2 linked regions of the Neodiprion lecontei genome follow. The protein of the gene in region 1 binds, or shares a complex with, the protein of each later gene. Links are inferred from orthologs where the notes say so. Each region holds a gene or a part of one and is shown in the gene's direction. Other genes may lie near its edges.

The links. Proteins that work in one complex are often made in the same cells at the same time.
Region 2: the proteins of cold shock domain-containing protein E1 (region 1) and polyadenylate-binding protein 1 are in contact, whole or in part, in a crystal structure (PDB 7ZHR), measured with the Drosophila melanogaster proteins. The link is inferred for Neodiprion lecontei from reciprocal best matches to the Drosophila melanogaster genes Unr and pAbp. Residues at the interface, in NP_648226.2 of Drosophila melanogaster: Leu843, Glu844, Thr845, Thr846, His847, Asn848, Gly849, Val850, Glu870, Ile871, Leu872, Asp873, Glu874, Thr878, Val879, Ile880, Ser881, His883, Leu902, Ile907, Asp908; in NP_476667.1 of Drosophila melanogaster: Asn184, Tyr186, Lys188, Ser211, Lys213, Met215, Phe225, Phe227, Ala229, Tyr255, Ala257, Arg258, Ala259, Gln260, Lys261.

Annotation. Positions count from the first base shown.
Region 1 is NC_060261.1:6,944,598-6,949,856, forward strand, and holds the start of cold shock domain-containing protein E1, read left to right. Parts: upstream 1-1,928; 5' UTR 1,929-2,038; intron 2,039-2,064; exon of another isoform or gene 2,065-2,161; intron 2,162-2,223; exon of another isoform or gene 2,224-2,243; intron 2,244-5,259. Other genes in the region: selenoprotein K-like, read right to left, coding at 279-377, 1,166-1,247, 1,336-1,354. UniProt on the Drosophila melanogaster protein: RNA-binding protein that acts as a regulator of dosage compensation in both males and females.
Region 2 is NC_060264.1:21,286,392-21,291,573, forward strand, and holds the start of polyadenylate-binding protein 1, read left to right. Parts: upstream 1-2,009; 5' UTR 2,010-2,760; coding exon 2,761-2,965; intron 2,966-5,182. Other genes in the region: putative nuclease HARBI1, read left to right, coding at 1-25, 124-418.

The DNA of each region.
Region 1 (5,259 bases):
TCGATCATCTTAAATTTCATTAAACTGGTGTAATAAGAGTAATATTCATTGCAATAAAAGTGATTAATAACACGCTTTTGTGCATGAAGTAGTGATGTTAAAGTACCACGACTATGGTGTACGAACATGCCATGAATACATACATAATTTACAAAAAGTATAATTCTTTTTTCTTAACTTTGAATTGCATCATCCATTTCATTTTACTGAAGCATACTGTACATAGCATAATTTAATAACGATAGAAAGTCTTAAGCTAAATAAATACTGTAATGTACCCTGAGCCAGGCCTGTAGTCCCTTCTGTATGTGCCCTGATTGTACGAATCCTCAGATGTTCCAACAGCGTTTAAAACAGGGCTGACGAATGACTTGAAACTATAAATATATAAATTCTATCATCATGAGAAATTATACTCGTATCATTCAGAATTAATAATATAAATTTATATCAGTAACCAACTATAGTACCACAGGAATCCATTGTTGGTCGGCTTAAAAGTTTGTGACCATTCAAAGAATGAAAGTATCCAACCAAATATATTGAAATAGCTTCTTCTATTTATATCACATTCAAAATTTTGAGATGGACGTACCTAACTGTCTTTAATTGTTAATTTATATCGGCAGTGATCGGATTGTGAATCTAAGTATGAGGTCACAAAATTCTGTCAATGGATTTTGCTTTCTTCAATACCTCTGAAGAATGTAACAGGTTTGACAGCGATTCTTTTGATGCAATTATTTATTTATTTGCACACCTGTTTTTAATAGCAGGTGTGTAATAAAAATATGAATAAGAGTTCTGTACTACATAAACTTTTTTTTGCATGCTGGTAATAAATGGTATAGGGCAATTCTTGATTGATAAACAAAATTAAAGCATGTTCTAGCTGCAGAACATAACCTCGAGTATTGGCTGGATCAAAATATTGTCAAGGGAAGTTACACACTTGTAATTTATAAAAAATTCTGTTTTTCAATCAAAAGTTTACCGTTGGATCAGAATGACGAATTAACTTGAAACAGTTTCCTCGGGCCTGTTAATAATCATATCACAAACGTTCCAAAAGTGGGCCTACCTACTATCCGTTTGCAGTGGTTAGATGGGTTTTTTCTATTCAAAAAGGGGGGCTCTTAGGATGCTTAATGTCATTATTACTTACAACATGAAAAACATGTAGAAAATTCCCAAAAAAAATGAAACCAGTCTACGCGGCCAGGGTTCAGTCTGGAGCACAGATCCATCTGAGAATTGGTATAAAATTTTTTACGTTATATTTGGGTTTTTGACATTTTAATATTTATTTTCGATAATTGTCAATATATCGTTTACCTTGAGAAACGTAAGCCATGTCGCACTCTTGGAGGTTCGCGAACACTTGTCAGTTATCACTTTCTCAGCGACGTCTTTCCGTCACCTGCTGTCATTTGCCACTATTGGTGACCTCTCGTATGTAGAAATAATGGGATGATGCCACGCGGGAGTTACTTCATGGCTTACTCGATGCATGTAGTAGAATCACTAGCAAAACGGATCCGTCATGTTTGGTATCCACAGCGTCCCGCTGGTGACTGCGAGTTAAGGCTTTAAAAAGTCATAAAATTCAAATTCAAATTTGATTGAAACGTGAAATAAATAATCAGCGTACTCCAACAAAAGTAACACTATTATTTATGAATGCAACTTTACAATCAGGTAAACTACAATGCCTTATTCATTTATTTTTTTTAAATCAGAGTTTCAGCTCTTGAAAGTTTTGGCTCACGGCCACCTAACATCGAGAATAAGTAGCCGTAAAATATTAAATCTAATTAATCAATTTGTCCATAAATGTTTACGCCGACGTCACCAGTGTTCATACACTTCAAGGGTCCTGGCATCCACTCTATCCCATACTCTTTGGGTCCTGGATAATCGATGTATCTCAAGAAGGCTGTGGTTCCGAATCTCTCCGCAGTTGCTCTTGTTTTGTATGTGAATGCTAAATGTTGACATTCAACATGGCGGCATGTCGTCAGTGCTGTGCTGTGTCGTGGTGAGTTTTGTAAAAAAATTTAAGATTATGTGTCTTCGTTACTTTAAATCTAGTTTACAATGTTTTATTATACAACTTTTAGTACTCTTCAGTAACGCTGCGGCGAGTCTCAATACAAATCAAGTAATATGATATACCAATTAACGGAATGTAGTTAGAAAAAATCTAAATACTCCACAATGAAGCACACACAACACATACATCGGTACAATATTTTGTGAAACTTTCGACTATAAATCAACATACGCGTATCTAAATTGAATTGTTCTGACTGACTAACTGCCGTTCCATCATGGACATTTTACTAACGTACTTTCGTGTGAGGTCAATCATACACCGTTTCTGTGGCCAGGTTGACACTGCTTGCTCCAATTTCTTATACAGCTACTAAAACTAATACAGTTACTATAGCGTTTTGTGCTTGATAAGCACGTTGTAGTTTATCAAATGAGTCAAATGATTTGCATGTCCAATAAGTACTCCGAAAGTAACGTATCCTATTTACTTACATTTTTTTCTAATCACTACCAGTTCACGTCAGTTGCGTAGCCCGCATATCCATTACCAAATAACTTGCAAACATTGCATTCACGACAAGCTCTTGTAATCTACCAAATATTTCGCAATGTTGTTGCTACTATTTCATTGGCTTGAATGTATAACAAATTAAATAATTTCTGATAATGAGTAATGTTTGGTAATATAGATTGAGTCATTTTACATTTGACAGAAAGAGAATTGGTGAAACAATACACTTTTCACAGTTGTTAAATAAATGTATCATCTGCTTCAAAGATAATACCATCTGTCACTGATGTTGTCTAAGATTCAAACGATGACGATGCTCATACTGTTCTAAGTAGCACAGTATGCCAACCTACATTCGCTTTCAATCTATTGAGAGTTCCTTTAATACTTTATTTCAAATTGAATTCAAGAGCAAAGTGCATTTCCAGGTTCTTTTTTATATTACTTGTGTTTGAAATGTCATTGGAGCAAGCAAAATAGGCTAAGTTGAATATTTGCATTCACTTATATATATGCGAAATTTCGATGCAAACCTGTTTAAAGTGGTCCTTGATGGCGCTCATGTATCAAGACATCTCGGCAAAGATTGAATTAAATTTACAAAAACTTAGAACACTTCATGCAACTCATATTAGATGATGACCATTCCCATTGCTTAATCAGTCACTTAAGTACGTTTGTTTACCTAGATTCGAAATTCAGGTTACTACTGGTATAATTTGTAAGATTCACTCATCATATTCGTCGACGATAATGTAAATTATTGCCAAAAAATCAGAGATTTCTGTTCACGAAAATCTGGAAATTTAAGTTTTTATCTTCAAATGTTTGCCATATCGAATGAGTAAAGATATTTCATGTTTAAGATCCAGTCGATATAATAAGCTGATAGAAGTTACTTATTTCCTATAAATGTTGTCTAATTAACCTGCAATTACTGAACACAGAAAAATCTCAGTTTTTTGATTACTCTTGATTAACTCTGTTTTTTGTCAGCAATGTTTAAAATTTAAATGAACGGGCAAAATTATTCCTTAAAATTTTGGCAACAGGAATCATAAATTAATGTTTTTCAGCCCCTCCCCTACACAAATTTACCATATCAAATTGTAACAATCAATCACTTTTTGGCAACAATATCTCTATTATGTGTAGAAAAGGAATAGCGTATAGCCGACTCTCTCGATAGTGCCTCTCGCAATAGGGCCACTTCCCTCAGCAGGATTTCCCACTATTCCAGTTGAATATAGCGTAGCCACAGTTTTGCCAGATACTCTCGCAATACGGCCGGCAATGAAAGTAAATTGTTGGAAGAAAACAGCATAGCCCTTACAGATTTTTGATGGCCCTATTGCGAGAGGCTCAGTTCAAAGCGATATAAATCTACCTCAAGTTCTTTAGTGGAGGTATGCAAATTCTTAGAAATATCATACCCTACACCCCCATAACCGACGCTGTACTTAGAAAATTGAAAAACTTCAAGCACTGAGTTACTAGAAATATTAGAAAATTGTGTAACAGAAAAGCAGGGGCAACCCTGTAATCCCATTCCTGGAAAGTTAGACAAACAATAATTGATGAAGTTTGTAAAGTCAACATAATGAAACATTATTCTCTCTAAACCATTTTTTTGCAACCTCAGAATTACTTTTAAGAGGCTGAGTTTGCAAAATATGAGTTTAGCTTGCTTTATTACAATTTACTGAATTTCAGGCAATACTAAGCTTTCAAAACTGTTTTTCGATTTACTGTTTTATTTCTGACTTTTATCCAATTTTTCGTGCTCAGATTCATCATAGGCATGGTCCATTATAAAAACGTTTAATTCAGTGTACGTAAACGTTAATTTTATCTACTCGTGTTCTAAAGATTTGCATAAATTCTTTTCACCATGTCAATTAGAGAACAGCTCAAATCACATCACTCTGTGTGACTAGCAATACGTTGTAATTTGAGCACATTTATTCAGAACCACTCATTTTTTTAAGTCAGTCTGAAATACTCAAAATACTTCTAAATTTTGATTATGCATCAAGTACTGTTTTTTCTATTTTATCAGCAACGTGAATCATATGACAATTTTCGACACTGTATTATCTAAACATAAATTTTTGACTTTATGCACAAATCCCACATGCACATGATTTTAACAGACACTACGTGTGAATTATTATACCGTGTGTCGCATATGCTAAAATGGTAGGAATTCAGTGTTCCATCAAAACAGACAAAAAATTTTACCCAACGTGAGAACTGACACTGTCAACAAGCTAAAACAGTACACACATTTCTACATTAATGCTTTCTGAAAACATATCGCCGCTAATCATCGTGTTTTCCGTTCATTCAGTTCATTTCTATTTTCTGATCTAGATTATTGCGCTCGAATTTCCAGAGACATCCTATCTATAGTGGCGTGTTTTAAGACGATGATGAAGCATTAAAGCAAAAAAAATTGTTAGTTTTAAGAATATTGGTGAACTTTTGTTTTGTTAGGACAAAAAAAAACAATTCCAGCAATTCCAAAATTTATTTTAATGATTCTGCTAAAAGAAAAAACTATCACAACGAATGAAAACTGTTATAAACAAACTCCTCTTGGTCTAAAAATATTTGAAAATAACAATACTCCAGTTCAATATCTACTTCAACTACTATCCAAAGTATCTTTGATGTAGTATTCCTAAGATTAG
Region 2 (5,182 bases), on another chromosome or scaffold:
ATCCAATTACAGATGCTCAACAAAGGTAAGATAAAGATTATCGCATTACTTTAGATTTCAATAAGTAGTCATAAAATTGACAAAGTATACATGTGTGAATTAACCAAGTCGGTATCTTGATAGGTATAACAACGTACAAAGCAGAACAAGGCAAATTGTTGAAAGAACATTTGGAGTTTGGAAGCGACGTTTTCCTTGCCTATCCCGAGGTTTGGGAACCAAATTGTTGTGCTCTACCACAATTGTTGTAGCTTGTGCCGTACTACACAATTTATCACTAACATTGGATAATGCTCTTCCGGAAGATAATCGCATCGAGGAAGAAGAAGCGGATGAATTGCCACCTCAAGCACCGCATTGGCAGCCTGGAGAGGGTTTTGCAATACGCGAAGCTCTAATCGAACGGTTATTCATTTAATCAAAATATATGTATATCAAGTTAATTTAATTGTAAAGACTAATTGATTTTAGAATGAATATACTCCAAATATTTAATAAAATTGAATTTAATCTGTACAAACAGTTAACATTAGAATACATATTTTACTCATAACTTATCATTGGTTCTCATTTTATTTTTAAACCCCTCACTTACTCATGAAAATACTGATATGTACGTAATTGTACTAAGCGTCAGTCTTATAGTTACGATAATACTTATGAAAATTTGTCTACGTAAAAATATTCAATACATTATAAATACAGCCAGTAAATAGAACTAAAGTTGCTCTTTTGAACTTTGAAGATCAAAGGTTGTCCCTTTCACGCGCATTTTTTTGCAAGTCTGCACCGGGATTCCTTTTAACATATCAATACAATTTATTTATCAATAACCGGTATAGAGATTTACATAATGATATAGGTTAAAATATGTGTATATAAAAATTATATACACATAAACATACACTATAAAATTCTTTTTCTTCTTCTTCGTTTTATAGCTATACACCCACTACAAAAAATTGTACGCGATTTGTTCCCGTTTTTTAGTTCCTCTACGTGGCGCTAACGTTGTTGTGTTCATAAACTATAAAAATACTCAAGAGCTGCATGCCTATACGAATATCTTGCACAGGCTGAGAAATAAAATCCGAGCATCTTATTGGGGGATACATCGGAAATATTCCGAACATAACCGAACGTCGAATAAGACCGTCTCAAGCTCAGTCTTCGTCAAGACGGTCTTGAATGAAATAAGCTAGCGCTTGAGACCAAATTCTTGACGAAGACCGTCTTGTTTTCCGACTATGAATACATAGCATCTCAAGACGGTCTTGAACGAATAAGACGATCTTCACCAAGACGGTCTTAAGCACCGCCTTGAGACCTGACTATGAATACGGGCCTTAGATTCCGTTTGCTTTTTTTTGCCATTTTGGTATTTCTTTTTCTCGCCGTGGTGTTGTGGAACACCTTTAACAGACATTCTTGCGTCACTGCGTAGTTCATGACTGCTGTGAATTCCGATGCCTAACTAGACGCGACAGCTGTGAGCTGCCTGAAGATTACTGAGGGTGGCTACAACTTATCGGACAATTTCTTCAACAGCCTATTTAATGTGGCGAATTTTCGCTGATATAGCAGATACGATGGAAATTACAATGTTTTTCATTTATTGACTGAATTTTCACCATGATTCCGAATTCATTTATCAAGTCGGTAGGCGTAGGAAACTGTAATTATCTCCGCGCCGCAAGCATACAGCGTCCGGTGAAAATGAAAATAGTACCTGAAAACAAGCGCGTAACAGTCGCGTGGCCAATAGCGACGAATTTTGGATACGACGCGAGTCGATTGAAATGGGATTAAATATTTATTGATGCTTGTAGAGTTGATGGAAAACTGATAAAACAAATCCAATTGCATTAACAATTGTATCGAGATAAATTTTTACCGTTGAATACCGTACTATTCCAGGTTTGTGCGTATCGGGGAACTACTTGTCGGCGTAGGAAATGGCGTTCTACGGTTTCGTATATAACTGTGACGCGGACGGCCTGACTGCCTCTTCGTCATTAAGAGTAGAGTTGTTTTCACGTGTGGTTGTGTCTCCTTTTTCCTAAAAAAAATAGGTCACACAACCCACCTCCATTCGTGAATTAACTCTTCTATATTAAAAAAACATAAAATACAAAAAAAACAAAAAATCCACTACTAAAAAAACCCTCATCCTCATCCCCCACCCCAAAAAAATCTATAAAAAATCTTTAAAAATAAAAAACAAAAAAATCGTAAAACCGTAGTGTGAAAATCGCGAAACTTGTGAAGATATTAAAAAAAGATATAAACACCTTGATATATCAAGTTGTGTGAAGAAGGGAAAAATAGAGATTTGAAAATAATAAAAAAAAGAAGAAGCCAATAAAGGTGTTAACAAGAAGAAGAAGGAAACGGAAATAAAACAAGACAACGTGTGTGTGACAATTATTTGCGTTTTATTATAAGAAAAAGAAAATCTAAAAATATCTAAAAATATACAAAATTCGCAAAAGGAAGGAAATTAAATTTATTAAAATCAAGAAGATTAACCAAGGCCAAGAAAAGTCGGTAATAAAATAAGACACCTAATAAATATCCTTGTTGGTTTTGATACAGCATATAGAAGAAGGTGAAAAAATCATTGATACCAGCTGCTGATAGAAGGAAGAAAAGAAACGTCTGGAGAGAATTTGCATGGGGAAAAATCACACGGGCAAATAACAAGCCATATTGAAGGCGAGAAGTATCGTACGATCGTGATAAGTAAGAAAGTGAACAGAAATGAATCCAGGAGCGCCTAATTATCCGATGGCATCGCTGTACGTCGGTGATCTGCACTCGGATATAACCGAAGCAATGCTGTTTGAAAAATTTTCATCGGCAGGCCCAGTGCTGTCGATACGCGTGTGCAGAGATATGATCACTCGCCGCTCCCTTGGCTACGCATACGTTAACTTCCAGCAGCCAGCCGACGGTCAGTATTTCGGTAATTGACGCTAGATTGTTGTTCGTAGTTTTGTAGAACCTACGAGGCTATCCGTCCGTCCCAGATTTCCTGAAAATTTCGCGTCCTCATCCCGTTTCCAAGCCGTGACACGTGCATTCTGTCGTTTTCGTCCGCCATATTGGATTTTATTCTGTCTCCCACAATGGCGTCGATTCCTCCCTCCCTGTTAACCTCCTATACTCTCCCTCCTTACGGCCTCTGCACATAGAATTCCATAAGTCATGAGCAGGATGCAGCAGCCGTTGCGCCATTTTTTCTGGTCTGTCCTCATTTCTGATTCGTCAATATGACGTTTATCAACCGTTTACCGGTCCAAGAGAACTGAAATTATGCCACTAGTGTCTCATTATGCACGAAAATTCACACTTCGTGAGCATACCGGACTGCGAAACCTGTGCTGACGGAATGAAAATTTTACAGACTGAATCCCACAAGCCATAAGCAGAATGCGGAATTAGCATTGCAGTTTTCTATCTGAGGTTCCAATTTAAGTATTGAAAAAAATTATCCACACTTTGCGGGTAAATTAATAGATCCGATCGCGAACTCTCGTTCATGAAGTGTAGAGTTTTATACAGATTGAATTCCGTAAGCCATAACAAGAATGCAGGAAATGAATGGCGATGTACTATGGCCCCTGGATCCCGCTTGTGCCTTATATAATTATGCGTGCTGCTTAATTCAGCAATCACTTCGCATGCTGGCGACTACACGGCTTGATATCGACGAGGAGAATAATCCGAGAGAAAGAAAGAAGAGAAATGCCTGATGCGTGTCGCGGAATGAATAACAATAATTCGAACGGTCGCCGGTGGATATGTCACGTGACCCACTCGTGTATGCCACAGACGTTACATGTATATGGGGCATTCCACGTTAAATTAGCAGCCAACGTATCTCACTTCCTTCGATTTTAATCATTTTTAGTTATTATGTGATGTTCTTACCAATCCAAAAGAGTTTCGGGAATTTTTTGATTTTCTACAGCCACTGGTGATATTTACGAAAAATTGCAAAATAAATTCCAAAAAAGCCATTTTTATAAATCTGAAACAATTCACAGAAATTCCATGATTTGAAATGTGATTTTTAAGCATCACACGATAGTGGGATCTCAATATTTACTATTTTTTGCGCAAGTTTTTAGTTTTTCCATGTCGAAATTGTTACACACACACACATGCATGTATATGTGTTTGTGTGTGCATATGTTAATGTAAGTATATATAAGGTCCTTTATTGACCTTTGACATTAAATAACTTTTGTCAGAGTAAATTTATCATAAAATGATAACAGACCTTTGTTTGTGAAGCATGCAATTCCTTCCAAACATACGTTTTGGTCTTATCAATACACTAATGCGTTGATGAGTCATAAAATTTTGAAGTTTAAAAAAAAAATTCCAATGTTATTTAAATGGGAAATGGAAAATTGCAATGAGGCTCCTCCGAATATTAATATTAAGAGCCGATACTTAAACAGCATCTATTTTCAGCTTCAATTTCAAAAAAAAAATAGTCGATTTTTTTTATACAGTCTAATATATATATATATATATTCAAAAACTGATAACCATGTAGCGATAGTGGCGCTGAGCGCAGTTCAAAGTTCGCCTGGAGGTGTGTTCAGACCCCAGTCATCAGTTGTAGGACCTTTCGACAAAAATAGTATATATTGATTTTCGTGTGGTACTTAAAAATCACATTTCCAATCATAGAATCTATGAATTTATTCAGATTTTTGAAAATGGTGATCTTAGAATTGGTTTTTTAATTATTTTATTTTTTTTTTTACAATATTATGAAAAAAAAATTATGCTACAAAAATGAGAACAAAATTCGGAGACCCTTTCGAGTCGGTAAGAATATCATACTCGAAAATGATTAAAATCAAAGGGGTTGAGGTACAGGCTAATTGTATGTGGAATGCTCCATATGTATAAGTTGCGCACACTGTGTGAACAGATGCGTAGGTTTTTTCCTTTATTTCTTTTCCGCATTTCGCCTTGGATCTTGTATTATTATTATTATTATTTTTCTTATTCATTAAGCACTAATGCCTAGCCATTTGAACGTCTGATAGATGATTAATTTCTTATTTCCAATGGTATCAGCACTAATTTTTTAACTTGGAAAGTTTTCCTTGTTTTTCTACAAGCCTATTTCAAACATCTGGAATATAACGGGTGATTTCTT